Ovis aries: one gene and its partners. The protein of the gene in region 4 interacts with the protein of the main gene of each other region in a biochemical or structural test. Links are inferred from orthologs where the notes say so. Each region holds a gene or a part of one and is shown on either strand. Other genes may lie near its edges.

Region 1 (4,279 bases), on a different chromosome or scaffold from region 4:
GCCCAATTCATCATCTCGGGAAGAACAAACTGTGCTTACTAAAATTCCCAACAATCTCTATGAAAAATACCCAAGGCAAACTCCTAAGTGTTGCTTATAAACATATCAGGTTTGTCAACTGTGAAACAAATGGTTCACCAAAAACCTTATGAAACTGTGTATAACAAGTGTTTGGTAAAATCGCCCCCGGTCAACCCCAGACAAAGTGAAAGAGACAAATCAAGAAGAAAAAGGAAGCAAAGAGAAAAAAATATTCCTTTCTGATGCAATAATAAAGTATACTTTATCATCACTCATATACAAGCAGGATTCTCTGCTCCATTACAACTGAAAATACAGTATTGTAATAAGGCCAAATTATCTCTATCTTATTCATGTCATATAGGTAAATCCAGTGGTTGAAAAGGGAAAAAAAAACCTCAGTAAACCTTCACGGTTAAAGTTAATATTGCAAAATTTCTTTGCTTGGGTAGATATTGCCGAAATAGCTAATATAAAACATATTCTTTGGCTATTTAAGTGCCTTTTCCAGTTTACAGTTCAATGGAAACTTAAATACAATGTTTTGAGCAAAACATAGTATCCACTGAGAGAACAAACCAACTTCTCCACCAGTTTGATCTAAATGTTGATTTTAATCAGCAGATTCTGTAATTGGTTAATATGATAATGAAATGTTCCTATTCATATCCCTATCTAAAACAGATCTTTAATTACCTAGGGGAAAACCATTCCTTTGGTAGAGTGGTGCTAAGGGGCCGTGGGTGGAGAGGCTGCCAGTAGCCAGCACAGTCATCAGCCAAACATTTATCGTGTCCTTCTCAGTGGGCCAACGCTACATTCCCCCTCACTCTGTAAAAAGCTCAGTCATCCCTTATCCTCCTGTGTCTTCTAAGCAGCAAACTGACAAATGCCCACATGGTTTTAAAATGGTGATTTTTCTTTAGGACATAATCCAGCTTGTAACCGGTCTCCTCAGTCTTTTGCAGCTATCATCTTCCCTAGTATAACAAACTTCTAAAATTTTTAGCACTGAAAGGAAATTTCAACAGAAACACACACATAGGAAACAACACCCCCAACTAGATGCTCACAGAACTATTAACCGTGGCATTTTAAAAAGTGAATAACAGTCTTTTTTTTTTTTTTTTTTGCTACTACTTAATTTCAGCTATCAGATCCCGAATCATTTTGTGTGGATATAGATTCGGGTTTCCCGCAAAGAGACGATTTAAAAATAAAATCGCGCTGTTCTTGTGAGTCACATCTCTGATAAATGCCACTGCCCTTGCACAGCACGGTGACACTCATAGACCCCCGGAGCAGGAGCTTGCTATAGCAAATACACAGTATACCAAGGGGGTATTAAATGAGGCGTCTTGAAATAAACCGAACTAAACCCTTTCGTGCGCTTTACTCCCATGGTGGTTAGTGGTTTCTGATTTTAGCTCTTCCAGCTGTTTGCATGTGGGTATGTTTCCAATTTTTTTTTTTCCCTGGGACAGGCTAAAAGTCCCGGGAAGTTTTTTCTGGGCTATATGACTCCCTGCGTGGGCGAAAGAAACAGGCGGTTGCTCTAATTCGGCTGCCGGGCAAGTGTAAAAGCCAACTGCCAGCTTTCAACGCGGCTCCGGGAGGAAATTTACGCGCAGATGAAGAAAACAACACCTCCCGGTCCTTTTTTTCCTTTCTTTTCTAAGGAAAAATAAGCGCTCCAACACCACCTTAGCTTTTCTAACTCCCGTTTCCCAAAGGAGCCCTAAGATCGCGGTCTAAAGCAGGTTGCTCCAAGCGATATTAAACTAGCACCCCGAGGGGCCTCCCCCCAGCACTCCCCCCCACACACCCCAATTTGCGTTCCCACTGAATCCGGGACGCCGTGGATCGGGACAGCGGGTGACCTCCAAGGCCAGGGCAGCGGGAGGCGGCGGATTTAGGGGACGCATGGAATTGAGGTCCGGCGTGAGGAACGAGCTTTCATCCCCCAAATGGTAGAAAAACAAGGTGCGCGAGAGCACCAGTTCCCTCCTGAACCTTTCCCGGACAGAGCACCCAGGGCAGACTCCCCATAGATCCTCTCCTTCGGGTGCCCCCACCAGGCCAGGAGGGCAGGGCGGGGCTGCCCCCCAGCCCTGGGCCGCGGTGCGCCCCGACGCGCGCCCCAGCCTGGAGCGGCCCCTGTCGCCCGCGAGCCGCAGCGGCGGGACACGCCCGAGGCCCCGGAGGGAGGCGGAGGGAGGGGAGCGGCTCTTCCTACCTGGACCAGCTCCTCGGCGGGCAGCCGCGGGCCCGCGGCGGGCGGCGGCGCCGGCTGCGGCGGCGCGGGCTGCGCCTGCGGGTGGTGGTGCGGGTGCTTCAGCTCGTCGCCGGGGAAGAGCGCCGCGTCGCGGGCCGGGTTCGCGGCGCCCAGCACAGGCTTGAGCTGCGCGAACACGGGCTCGTCCTGCGGGGCCGGCGGCTGGGGCACGGGTCCCAGGCGGGCGCTCATGGTCAGCACCCGCGTAGCCATGGGCACTCGGGGGTGGGGGGTGGGGGGGCGGTTCCGGGCGCGGGGCGCGAGTCGAGCGCGCTTCCCACCTCGCCCACGCTGCTCGGGTCGGCGAGCTTGGCTCCGGACTGACCCCTCAGCTCACAAGCAGGCGCGGTTTTCAAAGGCGCGCAAGAAAAGCCAAACTCTTCCGCTCCGCCACGCGTAAACGCCGACGTCCACCCGGCGACCACTTTCTCCCGCCCCGCCCCACCGCGCTCCCTAGCTCCCCGGAGTCCGCTCCCGCCACTGCCTGTCTCCGCGAGCGAGCTGCTAGCGCGCGTACCTGCCCCACGACTACTGACACTTGACGCCCGCCTCTATTTTACCCAACTCCGGGGAGGCGGGGCCAGCCGGCCAGACTGGCAGCGCTCCGACAAATCTCGGGGCCCCGAAGCTGGCCGGGCCTGAGCAGCTAACCTATGAAAAGGGAGAAGCTAGCTCAGAGCCCCGCCTCCGCCAGGCGGACCGCACCCCTTTCGGGCCACGAGCTTCGCGCGCAGGGCGGCCGCGCAGTTTGTACACAACCTCTCTGACAGATTGGGCTGGCGGAGACGGGGGCGGAGGGAAAAAGAGAAGCGAGTGGAATCTGGGGAAGAGAGGGAATTCGGGTGGAGACGTGGAGGGAGATCTCTTCGGACTGTTCTCTGCCAGGATTAGCGAGAAAAAGAGTTTTGCACGCCTTAGGTGTTGTGCAAGGACCTGAAACTCGCAAGTTGAAACCTGGAAGGCAGCTAGGTGGGGGCGCTAAGGTTTTGGAGTTTTGTTTAATGAGCGTGTATTTTTAAAAATACAAAATGTACTTTTCTTTAGCGCAAAACTAGGGGCGGTGTGATAAACATTTAAAAACAGCTCTTGTCTCTGTGTATCTTTAGCAGTGAATAAATCCCTTTAGCAAAGCAAATTTGAAATGCCCTGAATAAAAGGTTTAATGGCAGGTATTTTTTTTTTTAAGTCCTTGCATAAAAGCTTGTTTTTTTCCCTTGCAGTATTTAAATGGGTAGGAGTTTTCACACACATTTCAACCTCGTACCTGGTATGGAGAAGAGGGAGATGGGACACATGAATTTTGAAGTTTTTAATATTTACACTGTTGACTCTAACCAAAGCATGCAATCTAATTTAAGCACCAACGATTAAATGAAATGTATTTAAATAGACATTACATCTTTACTTATTTTTGCTACCACTGTGTGTTCAAAAAGTGGAGTTTAATGTTTGCAAAACAGAAACGTAGCACATTTACCTTACACCGTTGCACCTACTCCTACGAAAAGACAATCAAAGAAAGTCACAAACATTAGACACGCAGCAGCTCTGAAAACTGGAAATCCAAACTTATCGGAAAGTAAGAGCGAAAATATGTCACTGTCCATTTACTGTGTTATAGGGGGAAGGTGAATTTTGCCAGCAATCACCTAAGGAAACCACTTTCCTTAATCCTTAATATTCTTGTACATGATTTTTATCTGGCTTATTGGGAAGCCATAACACTACACTGCAATAAAAATGCCTGGAATATTACTACATATGTACATATGTTGACAGCATACTATATACCATTAGACATTTTTACATCTTCATCATCACTTCACCGTAAAGCAGCTTTTACAAAAAAAAAAAAAAAAGTGTTCTTAGGAAAATGTTCTCCTCAAGGAGTGAATCTATCAAAGGATATGGATCTCTTTTCAGTGTGTAGATTTTAAAAACTAATATACACATAAAGTGTTATAGGTGTTTATGATTAGAAAA
Region 2 (4,120 bases), on a different chromosome or scaffold from region 4:
GTTCATCTGGAGGGCCAGGTCCCAAGGGTCCCTGGGCAGGACCACTTGGGAAACAGATGTGGTTTGGAGGTCCCCCGGGACCTGGCCATCTCTGTTCTGGGTAATTTTCCACCGTAGCCACTTCCGGGAGGGGAACAAAGAACCCTGCGTGTCCAGTCTGAGCCCCAGGGACTTGGGCCTCCAAGGCCTCTCTTGGCCTGGGCAACACCCCCCTTCCAAAGTGCGCCATAAATGTCACTCTGTCAGAGGGTGTGGTCAGACAGGCTATATCTGGAATCTGAGCAAAGCAGTACTCAGGATGGCTGGATTCACTGAGGAGTCGGGGTGGAGGTGGGGGTCCAGACCTCTAATAAGGCTCCTTGGCTGCCCCCTACCAAGGGTGCTTCTGCTCACTGCTTCCACACTTCCAGCACCTGCATATTAGTATCTCAGTCCACCTCATTAGGACCCTCCCTTGGCACCTAGCTCTGCCCCCAACCCACAGGACCCAGCGTCCTGGTCCAGCCCTCTCCCCAGCCTAGCTGTCTCCTCTGACCTGCTCGAGCCTGTCCTGATCCAGGGCAAGGGGTCCCAGGCCCAAAGCACAGACTGCCCCTACCTCATCCCAGCTGCTCTGGGGACGGGGTCCAGTCCTGGTACAGTTCCAGGTGGCTGAGTGAGCTTGTGCTGGTGAGATCCTAAACTCTGGGTGCAGAGGCCAGCCCACCTTCAGCAGCCAGACTGGGCCCACTAACCCCCAGCCCTTCTGTCAGTCCCACAGCTGGATCTGGGAGGAAACCAGAGAAAGAGTGGGAAATTCTAGCCTCTTCCAGGCTTTTCAGAAGATCTAAAGAAGGAGGGGCAGGCTCATCTCACAGGCCCAGCCGGCCACTGTTACTAACGTCCCAGTCAGCCTATGCGGAGACACCATCAAGCCCCGTTACAGCTGATGAAACTGAGGAACAGTGTGGTGAGGTAACTGGCCAGAGGGCACACAGCAGGTCTTGGACTAGTCTGTCTTCTAAAGGCCCAAATCTCGGAATGAGGTTTGTCGGGTCACTTCCTGCCCCAAGTTCAGCGACATCTGGGACGGACCCAACCCGGGGCTTCCACTCAGCCCCCTTGCTCAGGGCGGGAGAAGCCGGGGCCTGCGGGAGCCCCGCAGCAGTCCGCGCGGGGATGGAACGGCCAGGGGACGGGTGCGCAGGCCGGACCGGAGCCGCCTGACGCTCCTCAGGTTGGGCGGGACCGTCCACCCGGGGGCGGGGCTCCTGCAAGTCTCCGCCCCGCCCCGCCTGCCCCGCAGAACCGCCGCCGGGAACCCAGTTTCCGAGGAACTTTTCGCGGGCGCTGGGCACCACCGAGTTCCGGGCGGGACGCGAACGCGCGGAGCTGCTGCGGCGGGCCCGGCGGACCTCCGAGAGGAGGTGACTGCGCCATGGACGAGCCACCCTTCAACGAAGCGGCCTTGGAGCTGGCGCTGGCCGAGCCGTGCGAGCTGGACGCGGCGCTGCTGACCGACATAGAAGGTGGGTCAGGGCCACTGGGCTCCGCGCGCGGGCGGCGCCGGGCGCGGGGCGCGGAGGGGGTCGGGGGCGCGGCCTCTGTGCGGAGCTCTCCGCGTCTCTGCGCCGAGGGCTGCGGGCCTCGCGGTTCTGTCCCCGCGGAGCTGCCCGTGCCCACCGGGTCCTGTAGGAGGCTCGGCGCTGAGCACGTGCGCCTCTGGGCGCTTCGGCCCGCACCCCGCGGCCAGCGAGTCCTCAGTCGGGAGGCGGCAGTGGCGAGAGCGGGGCAGCCGGCATCGCCGAGGCCCCGCCCCGCCCCGGCCTTGACGTCAGCGGGAGGTTACTCTCGGTCGTTCCCTCCGGCCCGAGAGTTCAGCTCCGCGCTCGCGCTCCTGCGCATGCGCGCCGCGGTCCCGCGGACCCTGACAGACCAGGGCCTGATTCTCCTAGCTGGCTCCCGGTATCGGTTCGGCACACGTTTATCGAGCGTCTACTGAATGCCAGGCCCGGTTCTAGGCACCAGAGGTTCATAGACCTGGGCTCCCCCTTTCCTTGGAAGCACAAACCCACCCTAAGGAAACCCATAAACAGATATTTACACCTTGTGGTGGGGCTGGGGCAGGGCGACTGCTTCGGATAGGGCGGTGGGGTGGGACCTGAGCTCAGTCCCGATAAGGATGTCTTCCCCACGGAGGGCACGGCGAGGAGTTGGAGGGACACAGGTGAGACTGGGCAGGTGGGTGGAAGAGGACTTGGCAGGAAAAGGCGGGAGCAGCAGCGCGGGCTTTCTCACACACCTGGAAGCACTGCTCTGGTTGTTCTACAAAGAGAGTGTTGGGGGCGAAGCTGCAGCGGGGCCAGTCAGGAGGCTGTTGCCCACGGTGCACAGAGCACATTCCAGCCTCCACAAGTTGCCTCCGAGGTTCCTATGCAGTTTCAGCCACGTTGGCTACCTTGCACTTGGTTGATGGGGATAACAGGCCCTGAGCACAGGACCCAAACCTCCCACAGCCTGGATGGACTCATCCATGGAGCCTATGCCCGCCCTAGGGTTAGCAAAATGGACACATCTGAGCCAACCACTCTTTGGTTGGCTCGCTGGGAACCCAGCTCGTAGGGCGCAAGAGTTGCCAGGTCCCCTGGAGGGGAGTTGAGAGGAGGGCCAGGCAGCGTTGACTCAGGGCTGAGAGCTGAGCTGCATCCCAGAGGCAGTGGGATGTTAAGTGACTTGTCCCAGGTCACACAGCAGAGCATGGTAGAGCCAGAATTCAAACCCAGGATGGGAGCTCCAGAGGCCACACTCTTAAACGCTATTGTGAGTGTGTGTGTGTGTGTGTGTGTATGACGCCATAGAGCAGGGGACTCAGGAGGCTGCTCTATATGGAGGTATGCTGGAGGCTTGGGAGTGGGTCGAAACGGGGTCATAGGTCACACGGCCACCTCCCCATCCTAGCCCAGAGCCTTTGACTTATGAGACGGAGGACTGGCATCAAAGAGTCCGCCCATGTCCCTGAGCCCCACCCAGCCTGGGCATGTGGCTCGGCCAGACTCCGTCATGTGACCAGCGCCCTCACTAGGAGCCCCAAGTCCTGTGCTGCAGGCCAGGCCCTGGCTGCACTGCACGACAACTCCGGGTAGATCCGCGTGCTCCCAGCCTCCTTTTCCTGTTTTTGTTTTGGGGTCCCTTGTGGCCATGAGAGAGGGTATGTGGGAGCCGCCTTGCATGAGTGCTGGGATTGTGTTGATGCCGTGGAGGGCCTTACTTCCCGCTGGTTCATACACTGCACTGTGTTGCTCAGTGACGAAGAGGCGATTGGAGGAGGCTGCTGGTCAGGTGGGCCTGGTCAAGGAGTGGCCTGAGCCTCTGGTGCATAGCTGGAAGTCACCTCTGCCTGGGCTTCCCAATTCATTGTGTCTTTGAAGTCCGGGTGTTTGCCTTCGGTCCAGTCCCTAAATCAACAGGGACCTGGCTTCCTGGGCTCCAGGCCAGCCTGCTAAAAGAGGTACATGGGGGCCAACCTGCCCCCCACCAGGCCACTCCCCACAGTCTCTCATGCCCAGTTCTCTCCCTGGTGCTGCCAAGCATGGGCCTTCCGTAGAAAACAAGCTCAAGATGGCTTACAGCCCTGCTCTGGCCACAGCATATACCTGCTCAGCTCCCTAACCACCATGGCTCCCCAGAACCCCAAGATACAGTCCCTTGTCTCAGCGTGGTGTTTGAGACCTGTCAGGTGGGCCGGGCCCGCCCTCCCGTGGTAAGTCCTGTCCTCCCTTCAGGCCCTCCCCATGCCCTGGACACACTCGGCCCCCACATGGCACTCCTGCCTCATCCTCACGTCCAGAGGTCCTGAGGGCAGAGCCTGGGAGAGGCCTCTCCCCCTGGACACGGCACCTCTCCATCCCTCTCCTGCCTTGGGTGCCCAGGTGGCAGGAAGCAGAGGCCCTCCCGGTATGGCCGTGTGCTCTCTCCAGGCTGCAGTGGCTGCCCTGGAAAGCTGGGGTGAGGCCATAGGTGGGCTGCCCATGAGCCCCGCTGAGTTCCAGCCCTCGCACCTGTGAGGGGGATGGGGAGAGCTGCGGGCAGTCCAGGGAGGCGGGTGGGCTGGCAATTGGGAGCTACCTTCTGCCTGGTGGTC
Region 3 (4,149 bases), on a different chromosome or scaffold from region 4:
AGTGATGATAGTTCAATACTTGTCTCCTTAGCCTGTAAAATCCACAAGGGCTTGGTCACCATGTGTTCCAAGCATTCCTTCACAAGTAAGATTGAAGTGCCTCCCTTCCTCCAGGCACTATGCCAAGAGCTGGGGGATACAGCAGTGAACAAGACAGACAAGGCAGGGAGAAGAGAACCAAACACGGACAAGAAACATATGGCAGCAAGTGCTGTGCAGGAGCCACAGCAGGGCAATGTGGTGGAGAGGAACTCCTGGGGAAGACCTGGAAATTCTCAGGAAAGATGTAGCTGGAAGGAGCCGGAGCTAGGGACAACAAAATCCAAGGTCCCGAGATAAGAAAGGACAGAGGATGGCCAGAGGAGCTCTGATGGGAGGCAGTTGAAGGAAAGGTCTGAGAGGGGGTGAGGGTAGGTCCACGTGGAGTTCTGTAGGGCATGGAGTGTGGCTTTGATGCTTAAGGTAAAGAGGGCCGCATGGAATCCCAGCATCAAAGAGGTCTTCCGATGCTCAGGGGAAAATCTATGGCGAAAGGCACACATGGAAGGTAAAGGTGCTAGAGTATTAGCTGAATGAGCATGGACAGATGGATGGACGCACGTCCAGGAGTAACAGCTGTTCCACAGGCGGCCCCGATCTGGCGGCCTGAAGCCCTGGTTCTAGGCTCTGTGACCATGCGCTGTGACCTTGGGCACATCCCACCCTGACTCAGGGCCCGGAAACCTGCGTCTCGGGGGCGGAGGAGACGTGCAAGGAGAGACAGTGCGCGCGCGCTGCAGGCCTACGGACGTCAGGTCTAGTGGCCCGACCCCTCAGTCGGGGACCGAAGCCTCGCCGCCCGCCGTGTTTACATTCCACCAGCGCCGGCCACGCGGCTTTTTGCCGCTCCAGCGCCGCTCGGCTCCGCCCCCAGAGCCCCGCGACCCGCCCCTCCGCCGCACTCCCGCCAGACCTCCCCCGCGTCCCGGCCTGCGCAGCCCCGCCCCACCGCGCGCGCCGGCCGGCCCCCGCGTCCCGCCCCGCGCGGGCTCCGCAGCTTGGGCGGTGCAGGCCCCGCCACGGCCCCAGGGCCCCTCCCCTCCGGCGCGCAGGCCCTGTCACTTAGCCCCGCCCCGCGCTGGCCCCGCCCCGGGCGGGCCGGAGCGCCTGGGCGGGCCTGCGCCGCGCAGGGCGGTCCTGAGGGCGGTGGCTGGGCGGGGCCGAGCCCTCTGGCTGCCGCTGAGGGGCTCCGAGCCGGCCGGGGCGGAGCGGAGGGTGGCGGGAGGGCGCGGGGGCGGTCCGGGGGCCGGTTCCGCGCGCTGGGATTTTTAAATGTCCCGCTCTTAGCCGGGCGCAGGAGCAGCCGGCCCGGCCGCCAGCGCGGTGTAGGGGGCAGGCGCGGATCCCGCCACCGCCGCGCGCTCGGCCCGCCGCCGTCTCCCGCCTCCTGGCTTCCCGCTCGCCTCTGCCTCCTGCCTCCAGCCTCGGCTCGTGCCGCCTGCCTGCCTGCCTGCCTGCCGCGGAGACGGCTTCGGGTGAGGACCCTGCCTCGGGCTGCCGGACTGCGCGGCGGGCGAGAACTCCTGGAGCGCCCGGGTCGGGTCGGGCCGGGCCCGGGTGGGGGTGGGGCGAGGCCGGGTCGCCGGGTCCCCGGAGGCGTCAGCGCGGGGTGCCCCGGTAGGGCGACTCAGAAGCGGGCTCCGGGGAGGTGTTGAGGGGAAGACTGAGGCAGCTGGGGGTCCCCAGGGAGGCAATGGGCCGGCGAGAGTTTCAGGGGGCGTTGAGGCCCCCCCACCCACCCTGGGTTCCGACCCGGCGTCGCGGGCCGCTGGTGGCGCCGCGGGTGACAGGCCACCCCGGGCCCATCGGCCATTTTCCCGACCGGCCCGGGAGGCTCCCGCCGCCGCCGCCCGCGCGGGAGGGGGAGGGGTGCTCGGGACGGGCCGGCGGGCCCTGGACCCCTCTGCTGCCGTCCTCACCCCACTGCCGTTTCGTGCCCCCAGGCTTGAGGTCTGATCCTGCGCCCAACGCCATGCCGAGGGAAAAGGAGAGGTGAGTGGCCTGGCCGTTGCGGGAAAGGGGAAGGTGTGCGGTGGTGGGGGAGGGGTGGGCCGAGATTTGGGTAGAACTCTTACCTCTGTGCCATCCTGGTTTTGCAGGGATGCGAAGGAACCGGATACCATGAAAGAGGAAAGTGGCACCGATGTCTCTGTTCGCTCCAGGAAAAGAAAGGCAAATGTAGCCGTTGTGAGTACAAAGGAGACAGGTGGGGGAGGATGCCCCCCCCCCAATCTTAACTGGGTACCAGAATGGGTTCTACCCATGTATTTGTTGATAAGGGATCAAGAGTGGGGAGCTTTTGGCAGAAATGGTGATCATAACCTTACTAGCTTTCTTTTTCTTCTCTGTGTCTGTGTTTTTGTCTTTGGGCTGTTTGGTGTGTTTCCTTGGGGTATGGGGGTTGTTTTATGTTAGTTTTTGCAGGATCCAGATGAAGAAATTGCCAAAATTGACAAGACTGTGAGAAGCCAGTGTGGCAGTCAGGTAGGTACATTTTCTGATTGGGTCGAAGTTGAGGCTCCCCTTGTTTGGGGTCACATTGAGTCTCATACTTGCTTGCCTCCTGCTGAAGGCTTTTTCTCCAACTATGGCCACAGTTCATATAACTGAGCACTGTGCCTGTCAGTGGGCACTGACCTCTGCCAGTCTTGGGATTCCAGGAAGGACTGTGTTCCTGACTGACATCCCTGAGATTACAAATATGCGCTGATGTCTGGAAGAACCAGAATGAACCTCACATAACTCAGTCCTCTCCTTTTGCCCTTGAGGAAACTGAGATTCAGTTAGAGGAGGAAAGTAACCCAGAGTCCTGTGCAAGCCAGGGGCGGAGTCTGTCCTATAGCCTAGGCTGTAGGCTAGTGAACTGTGGGAGGGCTCCTGACACACAGCTCTCTTCGGGTAACTGTGATGATGGGGGTTTGTGTGTGTTCATAAGCAACTTCTCCCCATCCACACTTGTGTTTATTTCCTCATGGTGCTTAAGGACTTCCCTTTCCTGCTCCCACCCCCTTCAGGTCATGTTTCAAACTTTTTCCCCCTTTTTGATGGTTCTTCTAGCCTCTTCAGCAATTACGTACAGTGATAACTGCTGCCTGGAGTTTGATCTGACCTCCACCAGAGTATTAGTAAGACATTCTGTGTAATGATACGTGCATCTCAACACATTTTTAAAACTGACTAGTCAGTCCATTTCTCTTGCCCCTCCTTCGTGGAGTTCCCGCCATATTTCTTGCATGTTCACGGTACCATCATAATATCAGAAGTCCCTAGCCCAAAAAGCTTGTATTATCTCTCTGCCTCCAGAAATGGCTGGAGACTGTAGTTATGGCCCCAGTAGGGGAAGCAGTCTATCTCCAAACTAACTGATTAGGCTTTCTGACACTGTAACAGATAAAAACTGAGCAGGAATAGTATTTGAGCCAAGGAAAGTGGTTCTGATGAGGTTAGCAGTGGCAGCACATCACTTTGTAGGACAGTGAGCAACGGCCATAGCGGCTGGGTCTGGAAGAGTGAAGGTCTTCAAAGCTGTGGGACACATGGTAAAGCTGTTATTGCACACAAGACCCTAGTAATTACCATTTCTGGGGAGATTCTACTTAATATTGAACAACAGCTTGATGGTTTACTTGCTGTATTAGAAGAAGAGATACTTTGTTTTAGGAAAAGAAATAAGACAGTGCATTTCAAATTCTTTCTTTTTTTTTCTTTTATTCTCCCTGTAAAGACTTCAAACCAAGAAAGTTAATTTTTGTGGGTCTCTACTAAAATGAATCTCAGCTTTGTGAAATTCAAGATTGGTTGTCTTCCTAGCTATGTTTTGAATTGGAATTTTTAACTGAGGCTGAAGCAAAGCTGTCCTTGTTGACTTCTTGGGGTTTTAGAGTAGTTTCAGTTCCAGAGATAACTGGAGCGGAGCCTGGAGTGCCTAAGACAGGGCTTTGGCCCTGTCCCTGGACTGCAGAGAGCTGATAGATGTGATATGTGAATAGCCATATTACTTCCCACTAGAAGGCATTTTCATGGTTCAGAGATTAATGACAACAGGTTTCTACACATTGTCTAAAGTAGATAGCTTGAAATTACCCATCATTTATGAAGCAGTCAGTGTCA
Region 4 (3,560 bases):
GAACGACTCCCCAGTGCATGTTCTCAGAAGCTTCTATCAGAAACGCGAATTTTTTCATGACCAGTGGCCTCAAACTAGATGCAGAAACAATTTTTAAAAAAGCACAATGAACGTATTATTGTCAGACCATCTGGCCACACTTAGGAGCTACATATTATGAATGATTCGATATGGACTACCATTGGAGTTTTACTTCCCAACGGGAAGGTGAAACTACTGATGTGGTTTATGATACAAGGTGTGCTTATCAACATCTACGGCACGGAAAGAGCTAGAGATAACTCTCATGATACTTCAAAGTAAGTTCCATTAAACTGTATGTAAAATAAAAATTTCACTTACAGGAACCTAATGCTAGGTAGGAACTGTGCCAACAGATAATTAATCTAGAATTAGAAGTGGTGGCATTTTGATAACCAAAGCAAACTATCTATGGTACTCTTCTCCAGCTTCCCAGCTAGACCAGAAGTCAACAAACATCTACCAATTCCCAGATCGATTTAAAGTTCCTACCTATTTTCTCAATCTAAGGGGTTTATTTAAATGAGGCTGTTATATTCATTAAGGTTCTGAACACATCACAAAACATACAGACAACTGCAGCCAATTCCCTCTCCTCCAAATTAATAACCTTTTCTAAGTTAACAGCCATCTTTATTTTATGTCAATATTTCATGACATAGACAGAATCCCATGAAGAAACAAATACTCCAAGGACAGAACTGTGAGCCCTAGGACCATGTACTAATTTGCTGATCACTAGTGGGCAGTAATTGGTAAACAAGCTATGTAAGTATTACTAATAGCAAATACAGCTGACCCTTGCACAACATGGGTTTGAACTGGGAGAGTCCACTACACTTAAAAATTTCTTTCGCTCAATACCTACTATGTTACTACACAGTCCCAGGTTGGCTGAACTCTTGGATGTGGAACTGCAGACACTGAGGGCCAAGTTATGCAAGGATTTTTGACTGGAGTGGTGGTGGAGGGTAGTGTCTCTACACTGTTCAAGAGTCAACTGTATTTTTTAATGTCTTTCAGGAAACAAAACAAGACCTATTTTTTAAACCTGCTAATAATCTAGTTATTTATGTCAAAATATGGCAATCTATTCTAGGATATCAGGTTCAAACAAAAACAAACCAAAAATGTTTAAGACAAATTTCCTTCTTTATGACCACAACCCAGCAGCCCTGTGGCAGCAGAGCAGCTTTGTGCCCAAAGCTCCACTTCCACTTTGAATGGGGGCAGAATCACAATTACATGGTCCGTCAACTTCCAGCTATCAAGGCAACGGGGCAGCTTCTGGCCAAATTAATCCTGTGCTAAGGAGTTTATTAAAATCCAGGCTATTTTCCTATGAGACTATCTCCCCATTAACAGGAAAATTTAGAGCCCCAAAATCTCAGGTTCCAAGACCAATATTTATATTTTAGAGGAAGATGACTCACAGAAAAATGGAAACAAATCATTTAAATAATTTCAACATGTATGCTTTCTTCGTGCCAATTTTAAAGTAAATGTAAACAGCAGAATAATTCATCTGTTTTGGACTGTACTGGATCAGCAGTCTGAAGTGATTATGGACTAAGACAGTATTATGACTGGTTACAAGAGCGCCACAGGAGCGAGCGCGCGCAGCCTCTTACCTGCAGTGAGTAGACCCTGTTGGTGTGGCCCTGCAGCGTATGCAGACAGGTCTCTGTCTCTGGGTCCCACACCTTCACCATGAAGTCATACGCTCCGCTCACAACCCTCCTGCCATCATACTGAACGCAGCGGACTGCTGCTACATGACCCATCAGCACGTGTAAACACTGGCCTGTCTCAATGTCCCAAACCCTAAGCGTGGCATCTCGAGAACCGCTAACGACTCTGCGGGTGTAACAGGAAAAAATGTATGAGAGCTTAAAATCATGGGAAAACAATACATAAAAAGTCAGTGGCCATTAAAACTTTTCTTTTTCTTAAGCAGAAACCACCTGTTTTCAAAATAAATACATGCTATGTCAAACCTCATGTGCTATATGAACACATGAAAGTTGAGTTACTTTGCTTGGGACGGGAAGTTGGAAAGCCTTAGATTCTGCCTGTTTGGTTCCCCCACCTATGAGGGACCCAGGAGCACCTTGGCGTCCTGCGGTTTGAAAACTACTGTATTATAGCTAGATACAATGAAGATGAAGCAGAGGAAGATAAAGATAAAAAATTAGTAGAACACATGGCAAACTCAAAATACATACAAGATCTTGATTTTAGAAATAAGATGCCCGTGTGCATAGTGTGTATAAAATGTTAATAGGTAGTAACATTGATATTTTGAAAAAGTTCAATTTTTTCCTTATTCTTTCTGCCATTTCCCAAAATTTTAATATGAACACACATTACCTTTATGACTAGGGAGAAAATTCAATAGAAGTGTCTCAACGAAACAAGCCAGAATTTGGAATTTAAACTGCTAAAGATATGTGCTTTATATCATGTACTCTGGTTAAAATAACCAGTTTTAAATAGGTCCTCAAACAAAGGTTGCTTGTGCTTATATTTTAAAATATTCAATAGGCTACGAGGGCATTAAGATATAGAGATTTTTAGAAGATACACATGTAGAGGCAACAGAAATCCCTTAAAATTTTGACCCAAGATTATTAAAGTGATACTCTTCCATAAACAAGAGTGATACAAATACTGTAATCACCTTTGGATTACAAAGGAGAGCTGAAAACTCAGGTGTCTTTAATGTTATTCCTAAGAGATAAAGAAAGACCACTTTCCATGTTTGGAAGAGTAGAAAATGGAAGCATTGAGACATTTAAGTCAGAACATACTGAAAACTGAATTGCAAGGTCTCTTGATACTAACTCCCCCAGTTTTAACAGTAGAGCACACTGTTCAAAGCAGATTCAAGTCACAAGTGAAAAAGGTACTTTTCTTGATGTATTACAAATCTTGAGTGAAATATGTCTAATGAAATGGTTCTTAATAAAGAATGCCATGGACAGAATGAACAGTAAAAACTGGAGTGGATTCACTGTAAGGACGCTTCAGAGAGACTTTTTCTGACAAAATAGGTAAGAAATCACATCTGTTTAACAGGAGTACCATGAAGACACGCCACTGGAAAACAAAAAGGACTTTTAATAGGAGGGCTCTGTAGCAGGAAATAAAAGCAACAGCAAAGATACTGAGAAGAAAAAGGCTAGCATTGGCTGAAACTATTCTGAAAACTGGATTTCTTCCTTAACTCAGGGTGCAACAGAAGGCTCCCAAAGGCTCGTGGTCCTACCATAATCAGAGGAGGTTCTCTGCCAGCTGTGTGCAAGGTGACCAAATATGAAAGCTCAGTCACCAGTTCAGGTGACAGGTAATGGCAATGAGTTAAAACCTCGCTCAGCTTTTGCCTGGACACAGGGGAGACAATGGAGAGGGGAAGGGTGCTGGGTGGGTAACTAGAGAGACTCAGAGGCTTGAAGCCTGAATAACTGAATTTGTCCTCCCACCAAAAATATATCCTCCTACCTCAAATATTTTTTTTAACATGATGAGTCATCAAAGAT

The links.
Region 1: the proteins of FBXW7 (region 4) and KLF5 form a complex in vitro, tested with the Homo sapiens proteins (2 studies listed by BioGRID, with this or other methods). The link is inferred for Ovis aries from reciprocal best matches to the Homo sapiens genes FBXW7 and KLF5.
Region 2: the proteins of FBXW7 (region 4) and SREBF1 form a complex in vitro, tested with the Homo sapiens proteins (3 studies listed by BioGRID, with this or other methods). The link is inferred for Ovis aries from reciprocal best matches to the Homo sapiens genes FBXW7 and SREBF1.
Region 3: of the proteins of FBXW7 (region 4) and CCNE1, one has a biochemical effect on the other in vitro, tested with the Homo sapiens proteins (18 studies listed by BioGRID and IntAct, with this or other methods). The link is inferred for Ovis aries from reciprocal best matches to the Homo sapiens genes FBXW7 and CCNE1.

Annotation. Positions count from the first base shown.
Region 1 is NC_056063.1:48,404,656-48,408,934, reverse strand, and holds the start of KLF5 (Krueppel-like factor 5), read right to left. Parts: upstream 2,831-4,279; 5' UTR 2,510-2,830; coding exon 2,258-2,509; intron 1-2,257. UniProt on the Homo sapiens protein: Transcription factor that binds to GC box promoter elements. Activates the transcription of these genes.
Region 2 is NC_056064.1:34,381,098-34,385,217, forward strand, and holds the start of SREBF1 (sterol regulatory element-binding protein 1), read left to right. Parts: upstream 1-1,303; 5' UTR 1,304-1,417; coding exon 1,418-1,565; intron 1,566-4,120.
Region 3 is NC_056067.1:39,910,962-39,915,110, forward strand, and holds the start of CCNE1 (G1/S-specific cyclin-E1), read left to right. Parts: upstream 1-1,309; 5' UTR 1,310-1,514; intron 1,515-1,982; 5' UTR 1,983-2,011; coding exon 2,012-2,031; intron 2,032-2,138; coding exon 2,139-2,226; intron 2,227-2,454; coding exon 2,455-2,523; intron 2,524-4,149. UniProt on the Homo sapiens protein: Essential for the control of the cell cycle at the G1/S (start) transition.
Region 4 is NC_056070.1:5,524,532-5,528,091, reverse strand, and holds part of FBXW7 (F-box/WD repeat-containing protein 7), read right to left. Parts: intron 1,879-3,560; coding exon 1,653-1,878; intron 1-1,652. UniProt on the Homo sapiens protein: Substrate recognition component of a SCF (SKP1-CUL1-F-box protein) E3 ubiquitin-protein ligase complex which mediates the ubiquitination and subsequent proteasomal degradation of target proteins.